2 linked regions of the Elephas maximus indicus genome follow. The protein of the gene in region 2 interacts with the protein of the main gene of each other region in a biochemical or structural test. Links are inferred from orthologs where the notes say so. Each region holds a gene or a part of one and is shown on either strand. Other genes may lie near its edges.

The links.
Region 1: the proteins of CHM (region 2) and RAB7A are reported together in a solved structure, tested with the Homo sapiens proteins (2 studies listed by BioGRID, with this or other methods). The link is inferred for Elephas maximus indicus from reciprocal best matches to the Homo sapiens genes CHM and RAB7A.

What each region holds. Positions count from the first base shown.
Region 1 is NC_064838.1:41,757,714-41,767,960, reverse strand, and holds the start of RAB7A (ras-related protein Rab-7a), read left to right. Parts: upstream 1-5,538; 5' UTR 5,539-5,731; intron 5,732-10,247.
Region 2 is NC_064846.1:78,960,775-78,971,318, reverse strand, and holds the start of CHM (rab proteins geranylgeranyltransferase component A 1), read right to left. Parts: upstream 4,906-10,544; 5' UTR 4,885-4,905; coding exon 4,836-4,884; intron 1-4,835. UniProt on the Homo sapiens protein: Substrate-binding subunit of the Rab geranylgeranyltransferase (GGTase) complex.

The sequences.
Region 1 (10,247 bases), on a different chromosome or scaffold from region 2:
CTTGGATATTTTTCTAGCAGTGGAATTGCTAGGTAATACGATAGTTCTATTTTTAGTTTTTTGAGGAACTGCCACACAGTTTTCCACAATGGCTGTACCATTTTGGATTCCCACCAGCAATGGACAAGAATTTCAATTTCCCCATATTCTTGCCGACATTTGTTATTTTCTGTTTTTTTTAATTTTAGCCATCTTAATGAGAATGAAATGGTATCTCATTGTGGTTTGATTTTGATGTTGAGCATCTTTTCATGTGCTTGGTGGCTGTTATGGATTACGTTGTATCCCCCCAAAATGTGATGTAAATGACCTATGGTATAATCCCATTTGGAATTTTTTTTGTTATGTTAATGAGACAGTGTAGTGTGTTTCTTAAGTCAATCTCTTTTGAGATATAAAAGTGATTAAACAAGCAAGGGAGGGGGTAGGAATAAGGGAATATAGATGCCACACCACAGGATCGCCAAGGAACCAAGAAATAGAAGCTGAAAGGACAAAGACATTTCCCCAGAATCAACAGAGAGAGAAAGCCTTCCCCTAGAGGCGGCACTCTAAATTTGAACTTCTAGTCTCCTAAACTGCTAGAAGATAAATTTCTGTTCGTTAAAGCCACCCACTTGTGGTATTTCTGTTATAGCAGCACTAGATAACTAAGACAGTGGCCATTTCAATGTCCTTTGGTAAAATGTCTATTCAATTCCTTTGCCTATTTTTTTATTGGGTTATTTTTCTTTTTGTTGTTCAGTTGTCCAGGCTTTTAAAATTACTATAGTATACGGTAAAACCTGTGAAAGCCAGAACCAATGTAAGGTGGAAACCTGTCACAGAAGGAAAACTCGAATATTTTCCATTAAAATGAGGGACAGGATAGTGGCAAGACCGCACTCTGTTAAGGGTGGAAAACTTGCACGACCAGGAAAAGGAAGGCGGTCCCACTGAGTTCTGGCTCTCACAGGCTTTCCTGTACTATTGTAAAGATGGCATGGCGACGGTGTTTGACCTCCTCTAACTTCACAAGTCAGGAAAGGTATGCTTCAGGGCTGTATCCATTCACCATACCTATTCAATCTGTATGCTGAGCAAATAACTCGAGAAGCTGGACTGTATGAAGAATGGGGCATCAGGATTGGAGGAAGACTCATTAACAAAATGCAGATGACACAACCTTGCTTGCTGAAAGCAAAGAGGACTTGAAGCACTTACTAATGAAGATCAAAGACCACAGCCTTCAGTATGGATTGCACCTCAACATGAAGAAAACAAAAATCCTCACAACTGGACAAATGAGCAACATCATGATAAACGGAGAAAAGATTGAAGTTGTCAAGGATTTCATTTTACTTGGATCCACAATCAACACCCATGGTAGCTGTAGTCAAGAAACCAAACGATGCATTGCATTGGGTAAATCTGCTGCAAAGGACCTCTTCACAGTGTTGAAAAGCAAAGATGTCACCTTGAAGACTAAGGTACGCCTGACCCAAGCCATAGTATTTTCAATCACATCATGTGTATGTGAAAGCTGGATAATGAATAAGGAAGACCGAAGAACTGACACCTTTGAATTGTGGTGTCGGCGAAGAATACTGAATATACCATGGACTGCCAACGAACAAATCTGTTTTGGAAGAAGTACAACCAGAATGCTACTTAGAAGCAAGGATGGTAAGACTGCGCCTTACAGACTTTGGACATATTGTCAGGAAGGATCAGTCCCTGGAGAAGGACATCATGCTTTGCAAAATACAGGGTCAGCAGAGAAGAGGAAGACCCTCAACTAGGTGGATTGACACAGCGGCTGCAACAATGAGCTCAAGCATAACAACGATTCTAAGGATGGCGCAGGACCGGGCAGTATCTCGTTCTGTCGTGCACAGGGTCGCTATGAGTCAGAATCGACTCGACAGCACCTAATAACAACTTCACTAGAGGGAAGGAGGATCAAGATCAACAGCCCGAGGCTAATTCCTTTGAGGGAGAGGTCAGACATGCCTCCTCTCTCTGCCATCTTTACCAATTCCGACACCAACTGCCCCTCCCATGGCATTCTCCACTTCTCTGCTGAGTTCAATAATTTATTGCAACAGCCACACAGAACACACAGACCATACTCACAGTTATGGGGCTTATAGGGAAGTAACAGGTTACAACTCAGGTTCAGGAATGCTCAGAATGCAGTTCTCCCATCAGGACAGCCTCTTCTCAGCCATGCCCGCAGGCACGCTTCTTTCTCTCTGGCCCCTCAGCCTCTGCTAAGGCAAGTGCTAAACAAAACTCTTTTAGCTCTGTTGATAAGTGCTCCAAGGCACCCCACTCCGCCAGTAAGCCTCAGCCTGAAGGTGCGCAGCTTTTTTGCTCCATGGGCCAGGAGGCCCACTGTGCCATCTCCTGCTGCTCTTTCCTGCTGCCGTTCCTCTGACACCGCTTCTCACCATCGTCCGTGTTATAGCCGTGTCTTTCTCAGTCTCCTGGTTTCAGGAGCTTCTCAGTGTAGGGATACTGGGTCCAAAGGATGCTCACCACTCCTGGCTCTTCTTTCCTGTTGGTGGTTAGATCCTCTCCTCCCACCTCTGGGATGGCTTGTTTTTAGCCTAGCAGGATGGCAAAACTGACCAGTCCTCTATGGTGGGCCACAATGTCCTTATTTGCATAACTTACCAAGTAAATTATCAGACGATAGTGAAAAACCAAAAACCCACTGCGGTCGAGTCAATTCTGACTCATAGCGACCCTATAGGACAGAGTAGAACTGCCTGATAGAGTTTCCAAGGAGTGCCTGGAGGATTCAAACTGCCAACCTCTTGGTTAGCAGCTGTGGCACTTAACCACTACACTACCAGGGTTTCCTGAGACCATAATGAGACAGGCCATATAAAATGATCCATCCCACTGCAAGTATGTTTTGAAATCAGAAAGTGTAAGTCCTCATATTTTATTCTTCTTCAAGGTTGCTTTAGCTGTTTGAGATCCTCTGCCCTTCCATATAAATTTGAGAACTGGCTTTCCATTTCTGCAAAGAAGGCTGTTGGAATTTTGATGAGGATTGCATTGAATTTATAGATTGCTTTGGGTAATACTGACGTCTTAACTATATTAAACCTTCTGGTGGTGCAGTGGTCAGGAGCTTTGGCTGATAACCGAAAAGGTTGGTAGTTTGAATTCACCAGCCACTTCTTGGAAATCTTATGGGGAAGGTCTACTCTGTCTTATAGGGTTACTATGAGTTAGAATCAACTCGTGGTGATGGGTTTGTTTTTTTGTTTTGTTTTAATCCATGAACATGGAATGTCTTTTTATTTATTTAGGTCTTCTTTAATTTATTTTAGCAATGTTTTATAATTTTTTGCATAGAAGTCTTTCACCTTTCAGGTTAAGTTTATTCCTAGGTACTTATTCTTATTGTAAATGGTAATGTTTCCTTAATTTCCTTTTCAGCTTGCTCATTGTTGCTGTATAGAAACCTCACTGATTTTTGTGTTTTGACTCTGTGTCTCTCATAAGGACACTTGTAATTGGATTTAGGACCTACTTGGATAACTCAGGGTAATCTCATTTTGAGATCCTTAATTACATCTACAAAGTCTCTTTATCCAAATAAAGTCACATTCACAGGTTACAGGATGTGAACATATCTTTTTGGGGCTCGCCCAGGGAGAAATCTCTAAATAGTTAGAGACGAGACCATTCAACTCACAACAGGAGTCAAGAATGATTCCAAGGTTTTCAGACTGAGTAACAGGAAAGAATGGCATTTGCATGAGCCGAGATAGTAAAGACTATGACAAGAGTATGTTGTTGAAGATAAAGTTCTAAGTGGCTCTTAATTGTGTTTGTATGAGGTTGGGGCTTGGAAGGGTGGGGTGCATTCTAAGAGTTCTGCAGGGTCCATCTTTGCCTCGCTTTTAACACTAAATTCAGAGAAACTTGAGTTCTTTTTCAATTTTCTTGGGCTATCTCCTCTGTGTTTTGGAAATGTCTAACTCATCTTCATGTTTCTATCATCCAGCTACATAATGGGTGCAGTTATTTGCAGTCCATTAGGAAGATCACACACATTGTCATGAGACCGTGGCTCACAATCCTGGCTGTGCCACTTGCTGTGTGGGCTAGGTAAAGTGACTTTCTAAGTTCTTCAGTTCTTCTCAGTTCTCTATTTGCAAAATGGTGGTAATAACAGCCTTCCTGTAAGATTAAAATAATGACTCTTGGAGTCTACCCAACAGTCTAGTACGGTGCACAGTAAATACAGACCTTCTCCACTCCTCTATTAGTTTATAAAATAACCCCTGCAAGAGCTTGGTTGCTAACCAAAAGGTCGCAGTTTGAATCCACCAGCTGCTCCTTGGAAGCCCTATGGGCCAGTCCTACTCTATCCTATAGGGTCGCTATGAGTTGGAATCGACTGGACAGCAACGGGTTTTGCCTTGTCTCTCACAAAAAGGTGCCCTGGTGGCACAGCGGTTAAAGCATTCAACTGCTAACCAATAGGTTGGTGGTTCGAAACCACCAGCAACTCTGTGGGAGAAAGATGTGGCTGCCTGCTTACGCAGTGATTTAGTCTTGGAAGCCCTATGGGGTCACTATGAGTTGGAATCTACTCCACGGCAGTGGGTGGGTGTTTCTCACTAAGGAGCCCTGGGTGGCACAGTGGTTAAGCACTGGGCTGCTAACTCAAAGATCTGCTAACTGAAAAGTTGGCGATTTGAACCAGGGATTCGAACTGGTTTGTTCTGGTTCAAACCCCTGTTGAGAATTGGAATTTGTAACACGTTCCTAGGCCATCCTAATGATGCTGTTTAGGGACCAATGCTGAGAACCACCAGTAGTGCAGGTTCTCGAATTTTATTATACATAAAAATCACCTGGAGATTGTGTTAGACAGTAGATTCTGATTCTAGATATCTGGGGTGGACCTGCAAATTCTCAGCAGGGGTCTGAACCAGAAGGAACCAGTTGGAAGACCTGGTTTGAACCTACCAGCTGCTCCTTGGGAGAAAAATGTGGCAATCAGGTTCCATAAAGATTACTGCCTTGGAAACCCTATAGGGCAGTCCTGCTGTGTCCTTTAGGGCCGCGATAAGTCCGAATAGACTCCACCACAATGGGATTTAGTTGTGTCTCACGACAGAGATTTCTCCCTGGGCAAATCCATTCTTAGGACAAGCTCTGTAGATCCTGAATTGCTTAGCGTACATGGTAGGACTACTTGGTTGCCTGATCAGTCCTCTTGGAGACAGACACTATGGCAGAGGCAAGCTTACCTCATCCTCTCTCTCCCGGTATTCGTTATTCAGGGAAGACAGGAGGCGGCTGAGGAATCGATTTGTGGGTCCAACATGGCGCCGTCCTGGTCCCTGACCGAGTCTCAAAGATGGCGACGTCCTATGGGGGCAGACATGTTCGGACTACAAGATCCAGGCCCAGGCCAGAGGCGGCCGGAACCTGACGCAAGGTTGAGGCGGCGTCCCACCTCCGCACTCCTCGGCGTCGATTGTCTTGTGACAGGTACTTCCGCTCGGGGCGGCGGCGGTGGCGGAAGTGGGAGCGGGGCCGAAGTCTTGGCCATAAAGCCCGAGGCGGCGGCAGCGGTGGTGTTGGAGGCTTGAAAAGGGCGGAGGGGTCCGCTGGAACCGGCATTTGGACTTCTTCTCTGCCCCCGTACATTTTCGCCTCTCCTCGGCAAGAGCTCTCTCAACGCGCCCGGCCCGGAGCCTCCAGCGGAGCGGCCGCGGTAAGCAGCCGGCCCTGCCTGGCCGGTGGCCTTGTCCCATCCCCCTCCTCAGCCCCTCGGTACCCAGGGCCTCGCATCGATCCCGTCTCGGGGAAGGCTCCGCGCTCAGCCCGATCCTCGCGGGGAAGCCGCGCGTTGTTCAGCCCCAGGAGCAGGCCCGGACCGCGCCCGGTCGGGAAGAGGTCAGAGGTTGCCGGGTGTGACCTCTGGCCAGGTTGCCGGCGCTGAGACTGCCGTCACGGACGCCTTGTTTACTAGTGGTGTCAAGACCGGAGACCCACTGGGCACGGGGCCTGTGCGCCCGCGGCGGGATGCTCTAGCCGCTTGAGTTCCTTGCAGCGGCGAGCGGAAGGGTGTCGGAGCCGGCCCTCCAGCAGCCGTGTGGAGGGGACGGTGGTCCAGGCGCCCCCCAGCCGATCGCGCCTAGTGCTCAGCTACTTTGGCATCTGTGTCTTCGGTTGAACAGCCTGATTCGGCCTTGGGGGAGGGTCCCCGATGGCAGCTGAGTTAAGGCAGTGAGTCAGGTCACGTGCGCGGGGCTCACCTCGGAGGCTTGTGTACATGTGAGACGCTTCTGGCGCTGGGAGATTTTTGTCGTAAGCATGTTATGGTAAATCTTGAACGAAGTTTTCAGACTTATTGGGGGAAAGATGATGAATGGCTGTAAAGCTATGTGTGTTTAGTTCAGACTTGATACATACCGGTTGCCATCGACTCGATTCCGACTCATAGCGACCCTATCGGACAGAGTAGAACTGCCCCGTACGGTTTCCAAGAAGCGCCTGGTGGAATCGAACTGCCGACCTCTTGGTTAGCAGCTGTAGCGCTTAACCACTACACCGCCAGGGTTTCCACTTGATACATAATGGTTCTTAAAATGGGAATATAGAGAACAATAATAGGAAACATTTGAGCGCTTACTGTATGCTTGCTGGGCACCGTGCCAAGACCTTTTACACAGGTTGTTTAATTTTCAGAACAGCCTTTTGAAGTACGATTATCGTGCCCACTTGTGGATAGGGAAATCGAGGAACACAGAAGTTAAGTCACTTGTCCAAGATCACATAGCTAATAAGTTATGGAGCTGAGATTCAAACCCAAGGATTCAGACTCTGGAGTACTGCACTAGATGTCTAGGTTGCACTGCTTTCAGGTGCTCCTGAAGCTTGTGATTTCTCTTGTGCTACCTGGTATCTTCCTCTCTCTCCTTTTCTTTCTAATAATGTCATTTTAAAGCCTCCTGAAGTGGCATTTGTTCTATTTAAAGCCAAAAGTCATTCCATTTGTAGTTGTGACCTTTAATGGATATTATTGTAGTGTAGTGTCAGTATATTAGGAGCTCTTGAATTCTGACAAAGTGCTTAATCGGGGTTTGAAAAATTTTGTTACCTGAATTTTTTGTCAATTGATTAGGCTTGGCAAGCCTGCCATGTGAACCTTTCTTACCACCTTTAGCAGAGATGCGGGTGTACAGCCAGCTGGTTCTTCCCTGTTGAAAATACTCTTTGGATTCTGAAAGAACAGGCTCTTGTCTCTTCCTTGTGACTTAAGCAGCTGATTAGCCACATGACTTCTCATCCATGGATTAATAAAGTCTCCTGTTAGTCTGTTTCCCTCTTCAAACTTTGGAAGGTTTATTTAGGTTTGAGTGAGTTGTGAATATTTCTAATACCTCCTGAGAATATTACCCAAGCTAAAGCTTGGAACTCACAACCCCGTCGTGTTCCAGTTTATCTCGTTTTACCTTGCTACTCAGCCTGATATATTTGAGTAATAAGTACTGTGCCCTTAAATAGCGTTTGGGCACTTTTTCATTCATTCATTGAATGTTTTGAGTATCTGTCATGATTCTGATCCTTAAGGAATTTTCAGATGGTGAGTGATCATTGCTAGGAATTCGGTTGTGGACAAGTTGTCCATAGAACTTGAGGCTTTTGGAAAGAAGAGTTATTTCTCATCTCGGCAGGTGAATTTGTAGTAATCCAAACAGTCTAGTGTTTTGGCTAAATTGAATTTTGTTAATTTTAACAACAGCATTCATATGGCTTGCTCTTTAAGAGAATGTAGAAGACAGTATTACAGTTTCTAATTGATCACGTCTTTTGTAACCTTCAGCACTCTAAATTTGTTTCTCCTTTTGCTCTAGTGGCGTTTTTTGTTCACTTGAGGGAATCCGTGTCACTGCCACCCCATTGCACTGCAAGTGAGAGTTGTTGCAGTGTTCATTGAGCAGAGGTGCATTTGGCATGCTAGATTTTTTTCTTCAGCTGACAGAGAAAGTTGAATGTGGTTCCTGCCCATCACAGTACCAGTAACATCCTAGATAAAACACAGTGCCATGCTACCTCCAATAACTGTTTTGTCTCTCCATCTATAAGAGGAGATTTGGGTTTTGCGCATGTAGAACTGCAGTGTAGGAGAAACCAAACCAAAAACCAAACCCAGTGCCGTCGAGTCGATCCCGAGTCATAGAGACCTTATAGGACAGAGTAGAACTGCCCTGTAGAGTTTCCAAGGGGTGCCTGGCGGATTTGAACTGCTGACCCTTGGGTTAGCAGCTGTAGCACTTAACCACTACGCCACCAGGGTTTCCAGTGTAGGAGAAGACACTCTAAAAATGGTATTATTATTCTGTCCAAGTAATCGTGATATTATTATTCTGACAAAGTAATGGTGAGCAACAGCTTGGAGATAGTTCTCCTCCCCCCCACCTGTGGCTAAGCCTCCAAACCCCATAATCAGAGAGCATTGCATTGTACCAAAGTGTGGCTTTGAATCACTTTTCTGACCCCACCCTCAAGTGAAGAAAAAAAAAAAAGTTTTGATTATTTGATTAACTTTTAATAAGTCTTCAAAGAGATCTGCACTAATAACATTTTTGCACTTATATCTGGCATTGGCCTTTCCACACAGAGGTGTATCAAACCCAGACTACGTGGGCGTGGCAGTAGTCTTATGCGCTTTCCCTCTCTGGGATTTGGCATAAATATTTTGCCATTATTTCTAAGACAAATTGTCCAGCTCTCCATCCATGTACTTCAGCAGATTTGACTGAGATAGATTTGGCTAGATGTTGGACTGTAGGCTGTGGGCAAGGTTCTTCAGAGAAGTTAAGGAAGTGCCTTCCTGAATAAGGCTAAACAGTGGTTCCCCTTGGCACTGATGTCGTTCTCTGAAGGGGACTGGCACTCGAGAAATGAAGTACCGCTCCTCTTGCCCCCCAATTATGCAGTTACTGACTTTCTGCAGACTTTTATCCCCCATATAAGGTTGCCATTGTATTCTCAGGGACTGATTCTTACGTGTTATCAAACACTTATCCATTAATGCCATCTAATAGATCTCTATGCTTATCTGTCTGCAGTTTGCTGCAGAAACATTTTGGAATGTGTTGATCTCTTCAGTTATTTGCTCTCACATCTTCTGTCTGTGCTCCGCTTTTCCTTCTCACATATAGCGTTAAAGACAGAAAAATAGCTTGCATTTATGTTTTAAAACTTCCTAATGGTGGTTGGGGTCAGTGTGATTGGTGAATCAAAAGTGATGTGTGGGTGAAATTAGAACAGGTGTTGTAGCCGTGTCTCTGACTAGTTTCAATTTTAGTACTGGAGCCTGTGATTTCAAAAATGAATTTAAGAATAGCTACTTGCAAAATGTCTCTGTGGGGTAGGGAGAAAGCTTGGGAGTTAGTTCCAGTGATGACATACAGTGTTGGCCTTGTTCGTTTGCCTGGAGATGCAGTACTTAATGCAGGGGGCCCGCGAGCCTCTCCTGGAGCTCTCTGTTCTGGTGAGGTCATCACTGCTCTGGAGATCAGCCTGCCTGATTCTGTTGTCCATTTATTTATGCAGTGGGACTGAGCAAGTCTGAAGAAGTATTTTAGGGCAGTGTTGGAAATTCTACAACCTTGCCTGGTTCTCAGATGGCCTTACCTGTGTGACTGCTGCCAAATATCATGAGGGAAGTTCTCTTCTGCCCCCTGCCCTTTCAAGTAACGATGGCTAGCTTGCTTCTTACTATTGACTTTCCTGGAGTTATCCAGCTCAGTTCAGGAGTCCTTGTGTGTAAGTGCAAAAAAAAAAAAAAATGACCCCCATTTTTTATTTTAGTTTGAGCTATTCAAGAGTACCTGACAAAAAAACAAAAACAAAACAAAAAAAACCCAGTGCCATCGAATTGATTCCGACTCATAGCGACCCTATAGGGCAGAGTAGAACTGCCCCATAGAGTTTCCAAGGAGCACCTGGTGGATTTGTACATGACAAAGCTACTGTAAATTAACCTTTTAAAAGGCTTAATCTTAACATAGACTTAAAAAAAAAAGTGCTTCTTTCATACAATATTTAGTCAGTCTACCAACAATTCTCGGTGCACTTACAGATCTTAGGATACCTTGAAATTACTCTGGGTCGTTTGGGCAGCCCACAGGCTGAGAGCCACTCTGAAATCCTCTGACTTGTACCATTTCGGTTGATGGTTATTCAAGAGATTAATGTTTTCTAGAAACCTTCCTGCA
Region 2 (10,544 bases):
CATGAGAAAGTGATGGTTAGCAGCCGTACTGGATTTTAACTGCTATAGCCTGATTTTTTTTTTTTTTATAGCCTGAGTTATTTGAAACATCATGAGAACACTAGAGAATATGAGAAAATGACACAAGATGTGGGAGATCAAAATGATGCTGCAGAGGGAATTCTGGGAACAGATGTGACTCTCTCTGAGGGAATGATGCAAACTTATTATGACTTACAGGGAAGGGTAAGCATCTCTGAGAGTCTTCTCCAGAGCTACATAACTATCTTTGCTTTTCTAGGTACTGAGAGTAGAAAAGACATACTTTTCCATCAATAAATGCCTGAAGAATTGCAAAGATTTTTTCAGAACAGCAAAATACACATGCTTTCTTTAGCTCCTTCACCATTTCCTACACTGACAAGGAAGAATTTCAACTATGCCCCCAAATAAGACAAACAGTAAATCTGTTCAAAACCTGCAGGCAAAACAAATGATCAATAATGCAAGCTCGGGAGTAAAAAAGATAAAGAAGAAAACCTATAAACCACCAGATGAGAAACCTGATAGGATTACTGGTAATAGACACACAAACGTCTTTCCTATCAAGTAGCCAATGAGAAGAGGAAGAAGATAAAATTGACACCCCTTTCATGGAAATCATGAGCCTTCTCTGGGAAGTAAATCAGGCAATAACCAAAAACAAACAAACAAACCCATTGCTGTCGAGATGATTCTGACTCAGCGACCCTACAGGAGAGCAGAGCTGCCTCATAGGGTTTCCAAGTAGGCGGCTGGTAGATTTGAACTGCCGAACTTTTGGTTAGCAGCTGAGCTCTTAACCACTGCACCACCAGGGCTCCTTCTAGACCGTAGGGGCATGGATATTTGGAAATACAGGCAGAGGAAATACATCTTGTCTGAACCACATACAAGCATCCTGAAAGGGGATTAAATAAGATGAATACAGGAGAAATCACTTGGCATAGGGTCTGACACAAATGAGTATTTAGTAAATATCAGTTTCCATGATCCCTCCTACAGCATTTATATCTACCAAGGTTTATAGAAGTGAGGTTACTCCACCACCATCACAATAAACACTATAGTCAATGAGCTGCTGGCCAAGGTTAACTACCTTAATGTTTCAATTCTCCACCAACATCAAGGAATGGAGCTATATGACCTATGTGACCCTTCCTGATAAATGAAGCTTATCATTTTCAAAAAAAAAAAAAAAGTTTTTTTAAGCATCCATTTTGATAGAAATTTTTTCAAATATATTCAACACTGACTTCTTAAAAAGACTATACAGAACAGAATCCAGCCTTTTCCACAACTAGATGGTGCCTGGCTACCACCACCAACTGCCCTGACAGTGATCACAACAGAGGGTCCTGGACAGGGCAAGAGATAAATGTAGAATGAAATTCTAACTCACACAAAAAAGACCAGACTTACTGGTCTGACTGAGAGGAGAAACCCCGAGAGTATGGCCCCCAGACCCCCTTATAACTCAGTACTAAAGTTACTCCTGAGGTTCACGCTTCAGTCAAAGATTAGACAGGCCCATAAAACAAAATGAGACTAAATGGGCACACCAACCTAGGGCAAAGGACTAGAAGACAGGAGGGGACAGGAAAGCTGGTAAAGGGGAACCCAAGGTCCAGAAGGGAGAGTGCTGACATGTCGTGTGGTTGGCAATCAATGTCACAAAACAATGAGTATTAATTGTTTAATGAGAAATTAATTTACTCTGAAAACTTTCATCTGAAGCACAATTTTAATAAAATCAGCCTTTTCTTGATGACACAGGGTCATAATTATGCACACACAATGGTAAATTTTCGAGCTGGTAGAACCCTACCTTAGAAATCCCCTAATTCAAATCTCCCACTTTATGTATGAGCTGAAATCCCAAGAGGTTATGCAATTTTCCCAAGGTTACACAGGGGGAAGGTCAAGCAATTACCATTAAACCATGTTGCCACATCTATTATTATACTATACTGAGCACCATCTAGCAAGGCAGTCAAGATTTAGGGCCGTAACCCTTGTAAGCTTCCCCATGTTTGTTATTTTTTATCCCATCTCTTTACCCATATCTTTAGTATTGTTGTTGTTGCTGTATGCCATTGAGTCGATTCTAGCTCATAGCAACCTTATAATCCTTAGTAGTAAAACTCTTAAATCAACTAGGATCTATGTGTTCACCCTCTGCAAGAAAAAAATTAAGCTAGCTTACTCCACAGCCCATTTTAGGGGAAGAACTCCAGAAGATAAAGTGACTGATGTGTTTTAAAAAGGAAAACGATGCAGACTAGATCTCTAAATGGCCTGCAGAAAGCAAGAAGGACGTGATGAAAAGCTCACATAGGCTTAAGAACAGCTTTGGGGGTGTGACTGTCAGAAGTCCAAACAATTCCTGAGTATTGACAATACAGTAACCTTCACAAGGGCAGGGACTAGGTTCTCAATAAACATGGTTTGAATATCCTGAGAAATGAGTGGTTGTCACTAGCCTAAATAATCCCAGGCTGTTATGGATTGAATAGTGTCCCCAAAAAATATATGTTGTGCATCATTACCTCTATGCCTATGGTTAGTCTTGCAAAATTCTAACCAGACTAACCGCAGGCATAGAGGTTATGATGTACAACACATATTTTTGGGGGGGTGGGGGGGACAATTCAATCCATAACAGCCTGGGATTATTTAGTGTAGTGAATTTTGCAAGATGAATGACTTCTTCATTGAAAATACATTTTTCAGCAACAGAAAGGCCAGCTATACACACGGACCTTGCCAGATGGAATACACAGGAATCAAATCAACTACATCTGTGGAAAGAGACTATGGAGAAGCTCAATATCATCAGTCAGAACAAGGCCAGGGGTGGACTGCAGAACAGGCCATCAACTGCTCATATGCGAGTTCAAGTTGAAGCTGAAGAAAATTAGAGCAAGTCTATGAGAGCCAAAATACAACCTTGAGTATATCCCACCTGAATTTAGAGATCATCTCAAGATTAGATTTGATACATTGGATGCTAATGGCCGAAGACCAGACTACTTGTGGGAGGACATTATACATGAAGAAAGCAAAAGGTCACTAAAAAGACAGGAAAGAAAGAAAAGACCAAAATGGATGGATTCCTAGACAACCAAAAAGAAAGGCAAGTGTGGTAATAACAGCTATTCTAAAACGGATTTTTTTTCTCAGTTTTAGAAGAGAATGGAGGGAATAAATGAATATTCAATTGGCTCCTTCCAGCTTTCATCCAACGTCTGCTCACAGCTGGGTTATCTGCACCTGCAGTTGTTTTCAAGTTGGGAATAACATGTCCCTGTTGTTCTGAGAACAATTACCTAGGTACAACGAGTATAAAAGGCTTTCTGGTTAGACAACACATTAAAAGCTACTAGTTTACCCTCCCTACACTCACAAATATGAAAAATCAGGCTCAGAGAGATTAAAGTGCTTGAACCTCCCTCAAAGTCACACAGCAAGGTAAAAGCCAAGCAAATTCTAGAACCAAGTTTTTCCAATGACCTCTACTAATCTGGGTTAACTCTGAGGATCAGAACCACTGATTCTCCTTCTGCTATGACATGGGCCTTTGGAAATTTACCAGCTGCGTGATCATGAGCAAATTATAGCCTTTCTAATCCTCCTTTTCCTCTTCTGTAAAATGTAGAGAATAATACCTACTCTAACAGGGTTGCTGTCAGAATTACATAAGGTTTGTCAAGTGCTTAGCTGGCACATCGACTAGCAAATAATAATCATTCACACAAAAAAAAGTAGCTATAATTTTTACTCCCACCCTAAAAACATGGCTGCTCCTACAGTTTGAAAAGACAACGAACGGAATTCATCAACACAATGGGCCCAATACCCCAGAGCCTACTACATTCCGCAGACGGGAGTAAACCCCACCCAACAACCTCTTTCACCCCATCTAAAACCCACCCTCTAACCAGTTAAGAAAAACAAAATGTCAATTGATTCCACACGTCCGCTGCCACACGTTGTATGTTGAATTTGCCAACTAGAAATTGCAGGGGGGTTTCTGGCTCCACCCAAAACATGGAGAACAAATGAATGATTAGCAAGGGGACAATAAGGTCACAGACCTGAACTGGAACTCACAAAAGCTTGTTCTCAGCATATCTGGTTGTGCGTGGATAGGTGGATGATAGAAAGCAGAATGGTTTTTTTCAGTACCGTAAAGCAGGAATAATGGCTGCCTCAACAAAATACAATTTCCTAGGCTGCTCAACACAATAGAGAAAAAAAAATCCGTTTCCCTGCCCTAATAAATTAATACGTACATGGGCAACAACTGAGCATCTTTCTTGCAAAACTGAGGATTAAGCTGTAACCGAGCAATTTTTAACTGCACGACACCCTATAATCATATAAAGATACGAAAAAAGTCCTATGAAACGACGAAACAAAAGGAATGAGGAATATCACGTTGAACTCAACAAGGAGTGAATCGTAATGTCATGTCAAAGGCGTATGCATGGATAAAATCCCGACCCTCCGTCCTCATGACACTGCAAACCCACCTCCCTTTAAGGAAATTACAGGAATCAGCCGCAGCAACCAACCTCAACAATCGGCATCGACCAGATATACCCCTACTCAGATGTCGCTAAGCACCGCGGGTCCAAGCCCCTCCCTGGAGCTTGCCAAGTCCCGCGCTGACTCCAGAATACCTCACTTCCTTCCCGTCCGCCCTCCCAAACTCGACCCCCGGCGTTTCTCGCTAACTCTCGTCACTGACAAAGAAGGCAGGAATGAGACAGGCATCCCACATTTAGTCCGTGGAGTACTAGGGCCACACATACCCGTCCCTATTACGATCACATCAAATTCCGAAGGGAGATTATTCGCCATCTTTACAGGAAACGTGTCATGTGACTACTGCTTGTGGAAATGAAATCAAGTTAAGCGTTCCCACGGTGGAAGGCGGAAGGGAAAACTCTGCATTCTGGGTATTGTAGTTCTTGAGTGAAGGCCCAGGTAGACGGCTGCAGCGTTATATTTGCGATTTTTACGCAAATGTTGCAAGCTCGATTTACTTTCCAGGCTTTATGAAGCAGTGCATTTAGGCTGGAGGCTTGGGGTAGGAAAGAGATGCAGATTTGTATTCCGATGGCTAGGATGAATGTGAGAAGACCTGGGTACTCCTTAACTAAGATAAAGAAAGAAGTGTTCGGAGACCCAAAAGGCAGAATGAAGTTGCGAGGGAATTGTTCTGTGAACAAGAGAGGTTATCATTCCAGCCTGGAAAACCGTTTCCCCAGTGTGTCTGTGCTTTCGTTTTGGCCCTCGTGGCATAATTTTTCACACCGATGTTGTTAGCTGGGCTGAGTCTCCTACTGCCAATCTTTTTGGTCTCTTATGTCTCCCCATTGAAACCTATTTAAAAAAAAATCGTTGTGAAGTCTATTGCCACGCATTGTGACACTATAGGACAGAGTAGAACTGTCCCATAGTGTTTCCAAGGCTGCAGTCTTTACCGAAGCACATTGCCATATCTTTCTCCCGCGCCCAGCTAGTGTGTCCGACAGCTGCTAATCTTTCCGTTAGCAGCCCAGCGAAGCGCTTAACCACTGCAGCACCAAGGGCTCGTTCCCCAATAAGCCTCCCCACCACACCCCCCCCCATAAACCCTTCGCCTTAGTTTCACCAGGAGCCCTGGTGGCACAGTGGTTAAAGGACTTAGCTGCAAACCGGAAAGTCTGAGGTTCCATCCGCTAGCTGCTCTGCAGGAGAAAGATGTGGCAGTCTGTTTCCACAAAGACTGCAGCCTTGGAAACTCTATTGGGCAGTTCCACTCTGTCCTGTAGGGTCGCTGTGAATCAAAATCCACTCCACGGTAAAAGGTTTTGGTTTAGTTTCACCAGAATGAAAACCTCACCGCGTGGTATTTATTCTAGTTAGGCCGAACAGCCACCCTGGCGATATATATTTGCAAAATTAGCCTAGCTTTACATGAAGGTAAAATTATACGAAAGCATAGTAGATGTTTGATAAGCGTTTGTTGAATTCGAATCTGAGTTTCTATATGTGTAAGATGAGTCCTTATATGATTCTCCTAATAAGCTACTACAGAAATGGTCACGGTGAAATGGCCTTTACATTAAAGTCATCGTATTCGATTAGGGTTATGAGTTGGAATCGACTCGACGGCAATGGGTTTGAGTTTTTTGTTTGTTTATGAGTGGTCTAGGAGCACTGGTGGTACAGTGGTTAAGCACTGGACTGCTACCACCAGCCGCTCTGCAGAAGAAAGGTGTGGCATTCAGCTTCCCTAAAGATTAAAAAATCCTATGGAGCAGTTCTACTCTTTTCCTATAAGGTCACTATGTGTTGGACTCAACTCGATGGCAGTGGGGTTTTTTGTTTTGTTTTGTTTTGTAGGTGGTCTATGACAAGCAGCTAACATAGCTTTCATAAGTATTTTCAAGCCCTCTCCACCCCATTTTTTAAAATGCTTTGCTGTCTGTCTGACGATACCAAAGCAAAAAAGTGAGGCTTGTGCAGGGGAGTGAGAGAATATTTTTGACCCCAGAAATTACTTAACTATTTTACTGAATAATTCAAAGAGAGGGTGCAGTGGTGAACCTGTCCTTCTCTTACACCACCTGTCCTCTTAGTTGCTTGTAGTTTGCCAGACACACTGTCATCTTTTCCATCTTCCTGAACCACCCCACACTGTCCTTTCAAAATGGAATGATCTTCCCATTCTTTAGCTAATACTTATCCTCAAGAATCAGCTCAGCTTCCACTTCCTCTTCCTTTCATTCCCTACCCATGTTGAGCTAAGGTTCTCCAATGGTGCTACCACTGTGTCATAACCTGCCATATTCACTGAAATTATTTACATTTATGTCAGTCCCTACGTAGTACACATATCCCCATGCACACACGCAAAATACACACCCAGATATACAGCAAGCTAAATTATAAGCTCCTGTATGACAGGGAGGTTCCTGGGTGGCTCAAGCAGTTTGCTATCAGCTGCTAAGCTAAAGGATGGAAGTTAGAACCCACCCAGCAGCACTGTGGAAGAAAGGCCTGGCAATCTGCTTCCATAAAGATTAAAAACCAAACCCATGCCATCCAGCCGATTCTAACTTATGGAGACACTATTAAAAAAAAAAAAACACCATTGCCATCGAGTCGATTTCGACTCACAGCGACCCTATAGGATAGAGTAGAACTGCCCCATAGTGTTTCCAAGGCTGTAATCTTTACGGAAGCAGATTGCCACATCTTTCTCCTGTAGAGCAGCTAGTGGGTTTGAACCAACGACCTTTGGGTTGGCAACCAAATGCTTTAACTGCTGCACCACCAGGGCTCCTTTCCATAAAGATTACAGCCAAGAAAACCCTGTGGAGCAGTTCTACTCTATAACGCACGGGGCCACCATGAGTCGGAATCAACTTGAAGGCGATGGCTTTGGGTTTTTTTTGTTTGTTTGTTTGTTTTTCCGGTATGACAGGGACTGTGTCTTATTTATCTTGTTACCCCTTGCATCCAACCTAAGCCTGGTGTATAGGAGGAATTCAATAAATATTTGCTGAACTGAACTTAGTTCTGACTCCCCTAATAGATGGTAAGCCTTATGAGAACAGGGACTAAGCCTTCTTCACTTTTGTATCTGCCTATCACTATCATGTGTGTCCTGCATGTCGTAGACCCTAAATACATGTTTGTTAATCTTGCTAGAACATGAAAAATCTTTAAAAATGTATTTTGCTGATTTTTTGGCTGTATTTATGTTGCATTTTACCCTGGTCATTGGCAATATGTAGTACATGTTCCATTAACTTATTTTCTTGTTCATCTTGTTGTATCGAACAATTCTTTTATGATATGGTCCTCTGATGAATATATCATGTAAAAGAGATTCCTCTGAGAAGTGAAATGTAAAATATTGTTCAGTAAATCACTCTGCTATTCATCTTGGTATGAAAAGAAAGTTTTGAGTATTCTCAGAAGTGAAATAGATCTTATCTCTGAGACTCTTACTATCAACAGTGGAAATGGAAATTAATATATTTCCCAGAGTAAACACAGGAAACTTTCTGCAATCTTCTCTAACAGTGAGAATCCATAGCATGAATGGTTAAAAATAGTAATAATGATAAATAAAAATATTTCTGTCTTACTTTGGAGATATAAGTGCATACATGTATACATATGTGTATGTATTTCTAACTTTCTAGGAAGTCAGTAGTTTTCTAACAAACACAATTACATTGTGAAGACATAACTCATTAATTCATTTATTCCTCAACTATTCATTGAGCACCTACTACATGCAAGGCACTCTTTTAGATGCTGGGGTTATAGCAATGAACAAAGCAAACAAAAATCTCCCGTCTTCATGAAGCTTACATTTAGTAAGGTAAAACAAAATAAACCTATAATTACTTTAGTGTTAATTTTCCAATCTACCCAGCCCCAATTTGAAACCCCCCTTTTTTCCCTGGGAATAAACAGTATGTCCCTCAGAGAGAGAAAATTACCAGCTTCTATTTAGCCTTCCTTCTAAAGTTATTATATGACTCACACCTTCCCTGGACATTGAAAAGATCATCACTTAAAAAAAATTTAAAGCCCCTGCATGGAGAAAATGTTCAAAATACCTTTTTCTTTCAAATGCATGTGTTGTTGTAGATATTATGTGAAGTATAGATAGACACAGGAGGTGATAATGTCAGTAAAAGAGCAGAAAGCAAAGCAGCTGAATTGCTGTCTATTCTATTATTCTAAGAAAATCTTTTGAGAGCTTAAATGTTTTATTTGGATAAGTTGCAGTACAATGAAATGATGGCTACCTAATAATTGACTATCCTGTGAAATCACTGTGCCACTAATTATGTATTTAATTGTTTCCTGAGTTGAAAAGCCATGATTCCTGGAACATCTACACTGTATTCAAGAAGTTTGCTGAACTGTAGGATCTGACGTATTATCTTTTTAAAAACCAGTAATTTAATGGTCTGTAGGCCTTTTTTTTTCTTTCTATGCCTGGCCTGTCCTTTGAGTTCCAGATACACATATCCAAGCCCTTACTGAACATCTCTGCTGAACGCGTCCAATACTGAACTCCTTAACATTCCAATCCTTAACATTCCAATCCTTAACATTCCAAACCTTAACATTCCAAACCTTCTCTTTGCCCATGTTCCATATCTTAGAAATGGGATGACCTTCTACCCAGTTACTCAAGTCAAAAGCCTAACAGTCATCCTTGATACATCACTCTCTTTCACCCTTAAACCAATTCATCAACAATTCTTGCCAGATTTATCTCAAAAAAATATACTATATGCTACAATATTGATGAAGCTTGAAGACTTTAAACTGAGTGAAATAAATCAATCACAAAAGGACAAATATTGTATGACCTTACTTACACAAAAAGATAAGAAAAGGCAAATGTATAGAGGCCAAAGTTTATTAGTGGTTACCAGGGGCAGAAGGGAGTGGAATAGGGAGGGTTATGCTTATAGAGTACTGAGTTTCAGTTTATGGGGATGGAAACATTGCATTGATTATCAGGACACAGTTATTTTCTCCTTTGAATTTCTTGTTGATACTATATTTTCACTAATGGAAGACATGCTGAATAAAGGATCAATTCCGGACCTTTGTTATGATTTATGGATTTTGATACCCATTATCTGGGATAACATATGTCTCAGCGGACCCTGAGTATTGTAAATCCTGCCGATGAGTCAATGATAAAATCTTTTTTTTTTTTTTATTTCTTGAAATTTTGCAAAACAGGAGGTAAAACATGAGGGCACCTGGCAATGACTGCACATATATTTCATTCTAGTTACCTACTTCTTATCCTTTTTATGATTTTTCATGAACCTTTTCAAAACATGATACAATGCATTCTTCCTTACTGCAAAAGCAATACTTATAGCCCAAATAAATAAAGCCAAGAGATTTTTTTATCTCAGGAAAATTACCACTGCAATGCATTTTTCATTACTGCAAAAGCACTGCTGACAAGCCAAATAAATAAAACTAAAGGAAATTGAATCTCAGAAAAATTGCTACTACTATGTATCCTTCAGAAACCCTGGTGGCGTAGTGCTACGGCTGCTAACCAAAATGTCACCAGTTTGAATCCACCAGGCGCTCCTTGGAAACTCTATGGGGAGATTCTGCTTTGTCCTATAGGGTCACTATGACTTGGAATTGACTCGATGGCAACGGGTATGTATCCTTCATTATAACAAAAGCAGTACTAACAGCTAAGAAGCAGAAACAACTACGGTGGAATGCTGCAGAACTGCTCACAGTGGTGTATTCCACCTGCTACACGTGGAAGCAATGATTAGGCCCTGTTATGAATTGAATTGTGTCCCCCATAAATATGTGTCAACTTGGCTAGGCCTTGATTCCCAGTATTGTGTGATTGTCCACCATTTTGAAATCTGATGTGATTTTCCTATGTGTCATAAATCCTACCTCTATGATGTCAATGAGGCACTATTTAATCTACAAGATTATGTTGTGTTTTG